Mus musculus: one gene and its partner. The protein of the gene in region 2 purifies or fractionates together with the protein of the main gene of each other region. This does not show direct contact. Links are inferred from orthologs where the notes say so. Each region holds a gene or a part of one and is shown on either strand. Other genes may lie near its edges.

The links. Proteins that work in one complex are often made in the same cells at the same time.
Region 1: the proteins of Btbd1 (region 2) and Cops5 purify together in Homo sapiens (affinity purification with mass spectrometry; 3 studies listed by BioGRID and IntAct, counting the BioPlex papers as one, with this or other methods). This does not show direct contact. The link is inferred for Mus musculus from reciprocal best matches to the Homo sapiens genes BTBD1 and COPS5.

Annotation. Positions count from the first base shown.
Region 1 is NC_000067.6:10,034,821-10,040,208, reverse strand, and holds the start of Cops5 (COP9 signalosome complex subunit 5), read left to right. Parts: upstream 1-2,070; 5' UTR 2,071-2,198; coding exon of another isoform or gene 2,199-2,290; 5' UTR 2,291-2,396; coding exon 2,397-2,539; exon of another isoform or gene 2,540-2,547; intron 2,548-5,045; coding exon 5,046-5,280; intron 5,281-5,388. Other genes in the region: Cspp1 (centrosome and spindle pole associated protein 1), read right to left, coding at 1,865-2,070. UniProt on the Homo sapiens protein: Probable protease subunit of the COP9 signalosome complex (CSN), a complex involved in various cellular and developmental processes.
Region 2 is NC_000073.6:81,790,649-81,795,331, forward strand, and holds the end of Btbd1 (BTB/POZ domain-containing protein 1), read right to left. Parts: intron 3,657-4,683; coding exon 3,510-3,656; intron 3,079-3,509; coding exon 2,920-3,078; 3' UTR 1,426-2,919; downstream 1-1,425.

The DNA.
Region 1 (5,388 bases), on a different chromosome or scaffold from region 2:
GTCTCCAGAGACGCAGCGGGTGGCAGATGCCTCTGAAAGCGTCAACGCGTTGTCAGGCAACCGGCGGGCCCAGAGGCCGCCCGGGAGTCTGCAGCGCGCGTGCAGGGCACCGCCCCCAGCCCGGCAGCCTCGAGACCAGCACCTGGGGCCAAGCCGGGCCACCGCCTCGCGACCCGCGCCTCAAGCCCTGCCCCCACAACACCCCGGAGCTTCCCGGCTCCGCCCGGCAGGCTCGAACCCCCGCCCGGCTACAGCGACCCGGGCCGGCCTCCCGCGCCAGGGCGCCGACTCTTCGCACAGCCGTCCACACCCGCTACCCACCGACTTACTCCCAGCGAGAAGCCACGCTCCCAGCGGGCTCCACAGTCCGTGGTTCCGGCGACTCCGGCGCGGACCTAAAAACCGGTCGCCCGCTCAGGACTCCGCCTCCCAGGCCCAGCCCCCCGCCCGCCCTCCACCAACGGCCAGGCGCGGCCCCGCCCCTCGGGCTGCTGGCGGAGGCCGCGCGGCCGAGGGCGCCCCCTGCAGCCCCGGAGGCCACCCGGTGCACCCGCTGCTGCGCCCAGGGATTCCTGAAATGTGACCACTCCCAGGCTAAATCCCAGCCATCCAAGCCCAGGACGGTCTCCAGTCACGAAGTGTGGATGTGAGAGAAGGAATGTCCGCACCAGCAGTCTGGTCAACTCTCTGTCCTGGGCTTTCATTACCATTTCAACATGTTATTCTGTATGTTTCGAGTGGCTGTGTATTGTGACCACTGGAACAAGCTTACACAAGCTTCTCAGAAAGAACTTAAGATACTAATGTACTCTAATGTCCCTAGTGTGCCCGAAGTTATACTTTAAGAAGATTCTATTTTTATTTTTGGTTTCGTTATTTTGTCTCCAATAGTCCAGGGAGAAAGCGGGGTTGGAACTCTTGATTCTCCATTCTCCACCTCCCAAGTACTGGAATTAGAAGAATGTTGCAATGTCCTTGCTCTGTTTTGTTTGCCCAGCTCCTTGACTTTTTGAAACAGGGTCTCCTGCAGCCCAGGCAAAAGCACCTGCATTAGAAGAGGATACAGACGGGCAGTAGTGGTGCACGCCTTGAATCCCAGCACTCAAGCAGGCAGCTCTCGAGTTTGAGGCCAGCCTGGACTACATAGTTCCAGAACTGCAAAAACCCCGGGGTCCAGGTGAAGCAGCTACAGAGCCTTCGAATTCCTGTGAAGGAGCAGTTACTGACGAAGAGTTAAGGAAAGGCATCTCCGAGCTGTGCTTTTTAAAATCTGTGTGCTCTAAAGCAGAAATGTCAAGAAGTGCATTTCAAGCAATGCCTAACAACTAATATATTACTAAGCCAAGGAAAAAAGTTCTAATAGAATGAAAAACTGGGTTGGGGGAGCTAAAAGAAGATGATGAAGCTGGAGAAGTCTTTAAGAACCGTGTTACGAAAAAAATTAAATATATTAGAATTAAATAAAACACAAATTTCATGCATGCCTTCAACTTACAGTCTAGTGGGCAATTGGGGATGAGAATGTGAGGGAAGAAAACCTAAAAATACGACTGAAACAAATTTCACATTAACTGCTGGAAGGCACAGGTTGCGGAGATTAAATCTGCACTGAGACAAACCTTTTTTAAAAAGTAGCGCCTAAGGCATTCACCGCTCCTAACACTTGTATAAAATGTTACCCTATAAAGTCCCTAAAAAAGTTAATCTTAGCAACCGGTAACTTTTGCTTGCCACCTCGCAACAGTAGCGAAAACACAAAAGCGGAACGCCAACCACAAACCCCGGAGGCTTAACACACCGCAAATTATCTTAAAAGAGTCACGCGATCTTCCCCCTCCAAAACCAATAATCCGGAGATACTTACACCTCTGTTTCTCTAGAGATATTTAGTATTCCAAACAATTTATTTCGTTTGAAGCACCTACACTCACATAAACATAATTCCCCAAACTCAAGTTTCCTCCTACACACAATATGGTGGCATCTGAGTCTGCGCAGTACGAGCCGAGCCGGCCGACTCCTTCCTGGCAGGCCAATAGTCCCGCCTTCCGGCGCGAAAGGCTGTACCATTCCCACACCGAGGCTTTGCGTCCCTCGCAGTTCACACGAACGGATTTCCGAGCCAGCATGTTCTCGTTTCACCGGCAAGACTGATCTTAGCCGAGCCGAGCCGAGCCAACCCTAAGGAAGTGTTTTCTATGTCGCTGCGCCGCCGCCGCGCCCCAGCGCGCGAATGGTCTGGACCAACGTCACCTCCGGTCTCAAGTGTCATGGCTGCCTTGAGAGTCTAGTGAGTGTGCACCCTGGTGGGGAAGGTCCAAAGCCCGCACGCTGAGGCCCAGTAGAAGAAAGTTGCATCTTGATTGTGGAGCGACAGCTTCTCCGGTGCCTCGGCCATGGCAGCTTCCGGGAGTGGTATGGCCCAGAAAACCTGGGAATTGGCCAACAACATGCAGGAAGCGCAGAGTATCGATGAAATCTACAAATATGACAAAAAACAACAACAAGAAATCCTGGCGGCGAAACCCTGGACTAAGGAGTGAGGAGGTCCCTGGCGAGACGCAGGGGAGGGCAGGGATGGCGGGACTGTGAGAGACCCGCGAGGGGTGGGAGATGAAGGGTGTGGTGAGCTTGGCTTTCTGTGGGGCGTCGACCGAATATTGGCCACAGTGGCCTTAGTCTGCCTTGTCAGTAGAGCCTTACCTGTCCTCTAGGGCCTGCTTCGATTCCCCTTTTAGAAAGTTTCTTGCCTTCAGGGCGTGTAAAGGGCTGACTTGGGGTGCGACTTTTGTCAACATGATTATTTTTGTAAATCTCACACACTCTGCCTTGAACCTGGTGGCTACATGCAGTTAGTTGCAGCCTTCAGTAGATTCCCAAACTGAAGAGCGTGGCTGTTTTTATAAATCGAATGAGCAGAGCATTGATTTAAAAAAAAAAAAAAAATCCATGAGCTCTTGGATTGATTGGTTTGGTTTTTTTTCAGCTCTTTAGACACATACCAAATCCTCTTAGCAGTTCCCTACAATACTACTACAATTCATGTAAACCAGGAATTATAAGAGAGAGCTTAGAAGCATTTTCCCCAGCCAAATCCATGTATCTTTGGGATTGACGACAAGTCAAATGATTCTTTAGAGCAAATTGTATTAAGGAGAGTGAAGAAAAAAATTACAAAAGGTTGCTGAGTAGACTGTCTTGCTGTCTCCAGGTGTTTTGTTCTGATGGCACAGCTGGCTTTAACCGTCAGTACTCTGTTTTCAGTGTTTATTGAGTTCTTACTGTGGGCCTGGCACTGGCCTGAAGATTTTCGTGTCTTTTAATAATCTTGACAATCCAGGATTCTTTCCCTTTCTGTAAATAGAAAAATAAGCAAATACATTCAGAAACACACCTCATGGTCATACTATAGCAATGAGCTTAGGTTCAATAGACTGAAAATCAGGTCTCAATAACTGTCATTTAGACTGTTGACTGGCATTAGGAAACTAAAGTATCTAAACTTATCTATAAGATAAAGGTTAAACGTAGCTATTAATGATGTCATGAAGATGAGATAAGGTAATTTATTAAGAAGTTCTGGATGAGCCATATGTAATGAGAGCATAGTAATGGTTGTTTTTATCTTTTTCCCAAGTAGATGGAAAAGCCAGTTTTTTAATTTATATCTTGATTTCCAAGATGGTCTCAGTAACTTTGAGCTTGTGGTTGAAATCTAACAAAAGCTATATTTGGTTGCATGCATCCAGTGGGCCATGGCAACGCTGAGTGCCCCACACAGATTACTTAGCTGTTTCTAAAGCAAGCTGCGTGATTTAGGTGGATGTAAACTCAAGACTTCTTCACCATCTATGGCTATCCTAACATGTAGGGTATGTCAGGGATTTTAAACTGTTGTTCAAGAGTTTAATCACATACAATGGTTAGTCAAAGAAGTAAAGATACTAGATCACTCTCAAGATGCTATCAGAAGGAAGCCACAAGCTAACACACTTTTTTTGAGAATATCTTAAAACAGGTTAATAAGGCTGATAACAGTACCTTAGGTTTTAGTGTCTGTGGGACTAAGCACTTACTGTGTACTTTTCATACTAATAGGTGACATACCTATTTATAGATATGTGACATAGACATTAAGTGGCCCTACTCTCTCAGGTAGGGAGTGTCAGTGTAAGATTTTAGACCTAAGCAGGGCAATTTCAGAGGCAAACATTGTAGAAATTAAATCCTCTGGCTCTGTAGGTAATAATACTTGCTATCAAGCATGCAGACCTGAGTTCAAATCCCCAGCATCTATTGTAAAAATCCATGTGTGGATATGTGTGTGTGTAACCTTTTAGCATTGTATTGAAGGATGGCAGAGAAAAGGAAGTCTGTAAGCTGGTCAGTCAGCCAAAACAGTGAGCTTTCAGTAAGAGGCTCTCTCTGTCTCAAGGGGATGAAGTAATAAAATAGAGGAAAATGAGCTGGGCATGGTGACACCCACATTTAATCTCAGCAGAGGTGGGTGATCAAGTTCCAAGGTCAGCCTGGACTACTGGACAGCCAGGTTATACAGAAAAACGCAGTCTTAAAACAAAACAAAACAAAAGGTAGAGAAAGACCCCTGACAGTCCCTGTCATCTCCACATGCCATCTGGTGGCACACTAATAAACATGTACCACAGATAATAAATAAATAAATTACTTAATTAATAACTCAGTAAATTAAGGTCAGAAAGCTAGGCCTAAGAAGGTAATCAAGTATAATAATTCCATGATGATTGAGAAAAAAGGCCTGTGGACTTGATCATTACTCCCTCACCTCAGCAGTATATTAAAGTTTATCCCAGACTCTTTATTTTACCCAAGGGGCTGAGCTGTGACTGTGACATGTTATCTCCAGGTACCTCATACTTGCTGCTCTTATTCTACTCCCACGCACGGTCCATACTCCCCTTCCATCACTATCAATCCCTTCAGAACTTACTTATTTTCACAGAGACTATCTTCTGAAATTGTACATTAAATAAGAACCTTAATCACAGTGTAATTTTGTTTTATAGTCACCACTACTTTAAATACTGCAAAATCTCAGCATTGGCTCTACTGAAAATGGTGATGCATGCCAGGTCAGGAGGCAACTTGGAAGTGATGGGTTTGATGCTCGGGAAAGTCGACGGCGAGACCATGATCATCATGGACAGTTTCGCTTTGCCTGTAGAGGGCACAGAAACTCGAGTAAATGCTCAAGCTGCTGCGTATGAGTATATGGCTGCATACATAGAAAATGCCAAACAGGTAAAAATATTGTTTCTTAAATCTAAAAATCTCTATGAGTCTCAGGATGACTTCTGGGTTTCTGAACTTAAAACTGTCCTTTTCGCATTAAATTCCATATTTTAAATT
Region 2 (4,683 bases):
GGTGCCTGGATGGGCAAAGGAGGGGGAAGCAATGTCCTCTAAGGAACCGTCAGCCTTCTCCACAGGTACCTCTAGAGTACCTCATCACCAGCTAGAAAGGACAGGACCCCGCCTCAGGTCAATCTGTCACACAGCCACTTGCCCCAATGGAAAGAACAGGGGTTTGTAATCCAAATGGCAGAAACCCAATGTAAAATTCTTAAGACTTGATCTTAGATTTGACAATGGAGTTAAGGGTTTGTTTGGCATGTAGGAAGGATAAATGCCGTGGTTCTCTCTCTGGCCTTCTGAATGTGAGGACAAAAGCAGAGACAGAAGGCTGAAGAAGGCAGAGCAGACCAAGAGGGCAGTAAGCGCTGTTGATAGTCTCCATTACTGTTCTGTAAACATCTTCCTTTTCAAAGTGTGTGTCCCTAAAACTTCATGTTCACCTAAAATACATTTGAAAGTGCAAATAGTACATCTTAAATTGTTGGCTAGATACTAGATCAGGAGTGTTTTTAAAAAATACTTTTTAAATTATTTAAATTATTGATATCCTATAGTAGGTACAGGTTAGTGAAAATATATAATTGCATAATTCTATATAACATGTTGTTTTGTTATTGTCATTATATAATTATGTCTTGATATATAATTGTGTAATACTATGTTGTTTTGTTGTTGTTATTAAGACTGGGTCTCTCTGTGTAGTCCTGGCTCTTCTGGAATTTGTTCTGTAGACCGGGCTGGCCTCAAACTCAAAAGACCCACCCATCTCTGTCTCTCCAGTGCTGGGACTAAAGGTGTGCACCACAACTGCCTGGCTGTTTTGGCAACTCTAACAAAGCATTTTTCCTGCTCAATAGTGTGGGGCATAAAAATTACTTAAATCGTATCCAGTACCGTGTAGTAACCTTTCTAATTATTAAATTCTTTGTTTGGGTACCTTAATACCAATGCACAATGATGCAGTGGCAAGCAAGAATTTTTGCAAAAGACTTAGAGCAAAGGCCAGTCAGTGCACAGTAACTACTCAGGCTGCAATGACTGGCATTTTGAAACTAGGAATGAAATTCCAGCTAGGTGTCTTAGTCAGTGGTCTATTGCTGTGAAGAGACACCATGACCAAGGCAACTCTTATAAAAGAAACATTTAATTGGGGTTTGCTTACTGTTCAGGGGTTCAATCCATTATCATGGTGGGAAGCATGATGATGTGCAAAGGCCACAACTTCTAATAGTGCTACCCTCCCATGAGCCTACAGGGGCATTTTCATTCACACCACTACACTGGGCAACTGCTATACCGCTGAGTTATCCCCTGCCCAACTCTCTAAATATTAGTTAAAATTAGAAGTGCATAAAAGCTAAACTTTAATTAGCTGGAACTTTTGTTCTAAAGTAGTATCTCAAGTTTTAGAGAAAAAGAGAGGTGACAAATAGGTAAACAAAAAGGATAAATTTATTTTAAAAATTCCAGGTGATGTCCCAATGTCAGTGAGTGGTTCCGTATCTTGTTCCTTCCATGACTACATTCAGTTACAGTTGTTCAGTAAAGCACAAGGCATGCGAATGCCCCAATGGTCAGAAAGCACTAACTTACCTCTGGCATGCAACACTGGTTAAGGAATGGTTACTACACAGTCTTTACTTCTCTTCAGTTAAGCAGAATCACACATTCCATGGGCATTCCCGCTAACTGAGGCTTAGACCCATAAGATCATAGTACCAGAGCAGACTGAAAACAGTTCCCTTTCTTCAACAACTTCAAGAGATCCTGGCCACCAACACATCACCTCCCTGCCATCTTGAAAATACAAAATATTACTTTTGATGAAAACTTTTATATCCTATTTAGAAAAATTCTTAAGTTGATACTTAAAAGAATTCTTATTTTTAATAATTTCCCACAACTATCTGATAGACTGATAGACCTTAAGCTTAATTATACAAGGGTTTTTTTGTAAGATAATCATTTTCAAGGGAAAATATTATCTTACTTGTATTTTAAAAATCTGCTTTATATAAAAATGTAGAAATGTCACACTGCCAAATATCCCTTTGATCCACTCTTACTGTAGCATTTTTACTTCTTGGGTGGAACTATGTAGATGACACAAAGCCTTCTTCCTCTTCAGCAGGAGTGACTGGCTGGACATGGACAGCTTTATGGTTCAGCGCAGCTGTTAGGGATCTTGGTATTCTACCCCCTTCTTGCTGTGAAGGGCATTGCAGTGCTGCAGTGGCCATCTGTTGGCATCTGTCACATCTCAGTCATCTGGATCACTGCAGCACCCATGACTGGCTTAGTGGGATGGGAGTGATAAAGAATCCATCTCAGATAATCCCTTCGATCTGTTTATATCACATTGTGAATTTATACAAACTCCACTTCCAGCTGTAAAACAGTGCTATGTGATGCACTTCTATACTGTTACAGAATACCTTCCCTGTAAATGCACTGAAACTTTTCTTGAGTGTTTTCTAGGCATTATTCCAAAAGGTAATGACCACATATTTGAAAACCCCAAATATAAAGTCAGTTTTCTTAATTTTCTGAAATTAGTTATTTGAGTTAAAAAGAATTTTGTAGGAATACTCACCCATCTCATCTAACTTTCAAAACAGTTAAAACAAAAGTTTTAAAAATCAAACACCCACATCTGCTATTATGACAAGAATCTCTCAATTCCCAAACTACTGAAAGATCACGAGTCAGCGGATCTACGAAATCACACAAGACGAAGCAGAAAAGACGGCAATTTACACACACATCCAGTTCTCTTTGCTTCGAATCATGCAGAGATTTAAATTAACTATTTTACTTCTAAGAAACTAAAATGTTTCTTAATCTGTAATTATAAATACTCAAGACACTCAAACTATTTGTGGCCAGTTGTTTATGCTTTTGAGATTAGACTGAATGGTTAACACTAGATTATGTATAAAATATTATTTCTGGTATTTGTCCATCTTCTATTGATGTGCCATTGTTATTGCCAGGGGAACTGAAAAATAGGAAAACAGTCTTGCTTGCAGCAGGGGTCTCATGCACTACTTTCTTCAGTCCTTTTGTGCCATAGTGAGAATCTGGGCCCTAAATGAAAATAAACAAGTCAGTGGCTGTCAGTTGAGAAGCATCCCTGTGTTCTGAGGTGACTAATGGTCTGCCCTATTCATTACAGACTCAGTATAAAATCTCATGCAGGCATCTAACAAAATATGAGGGTTTGCTTAAAAACAATTTTAATAACAATATGAAGTTCAGCCATTAACAACTGTGAAAAAGGTTTAAGAAAAACAAACTGTGGAAGTTCTATTTTCTTTAAACAAAGGGGAAGGAAGTTCTTGGGAAGACCTTTTCTCTCAGAATGGACGAGTCCTGGGCTGCACTGAGTGCAGCAGAGCATCTTAGCTCAGGCTTCCTCTTCCCCTAAGAGGCTCCCATGCTAGTGACTCTAAAACATGGAAGCCAGGAGCCTCCTGAGTGCATAGCAGGCACAGCCTGTGGGGCTGCGCGGCTCTTACCTTGAGTGTTGCGCACGCTGTGTAACAGACATTGGGCAGGATCTCTATAGGTTCTTTGAACATGACCCTGAATGTGTTAGCAGTCCCATCACAACTAAATCCAGTATCATTCTGTCCCAAGGTTTGTTTTTTCTCATATTCAATGATCTGTGATTTTTAAAAGAGAAGTTACATTTAAGTTAAATTGTAACAGTCTTGTGGGAAAGAATATGAAGCTTTTAGAAATTGTAACATAAACGTTTCTCTACTTATCTTTAATTATCAAAGATTTTTAAAGCATAAGATGACCAGAAAATGGCTCTGTAACTCACACATCACAAGAACAGGAAAGACATCGAACAACGAACGGGCTTGGCTACAGAAGGATTCCATAAAGAAAAGCAGAGTTTGGTGTACGAACTTTAGAATGTGGCCTTGCGATGTTAGAGGGAAGAATCTGCCCTCCTTGTTTAGCCCATGTCTTTTCCCTACAATAATCTCAACACTTTCAGCTTCAGTATTTACTGAAATTAAAATGTCCTTAAATGCACTGTCATTCTGTGAATAAGTTCAGTTAGTTCTACCGTTACGTGCCAAGTGGTAAACAGAGTACTAAGGGACCCATCCAGGAGGGTCCAGGCAACAGGAAACATGCTGGCAGTGCCAGTTCCGATGAAAGGAGACGGATGGATGGACGGACAGAGAGTTAACTACATTTGCTGAAGAGGGCTGAAGCTTCCTGGGGGACAGCTTAACAAACTCAAGCCATAGCTTATGGAGTGACTCCTTACAAGCCTGCCTTTCCGCCAGCATTCTAGCAAACAATAATGAAATGAGCAAAAGCTACCTAAAGTTAAGGTCAGAACAGTGTTTCCTCTGTAAGGAGGGTGGAAGGATCACTAAGAGTTCTAGATGTTGTTTTGTCTTGTTCTTTGACTAGGCATTAGTTATACAGGTCTTTGTGTATTAGTTGTACAGTCTGTGAAAACTAAGACACGTACCGTTTATTAATATAACCTGCCTCCTTCCCAAGTTTTTGTTTGTTTCTTTAAAGACAAGGTCTCACTATGCAGTTCTGGCTGCAGTGGAACTCTCAAGGGCTGGGAATAGAGGTGTCCACCACCACACTCAGTGAACATACCCTTCAAATATCTTCTATCAGTTCAGTAGAAAAAGAGGTCATACCATTATGAGG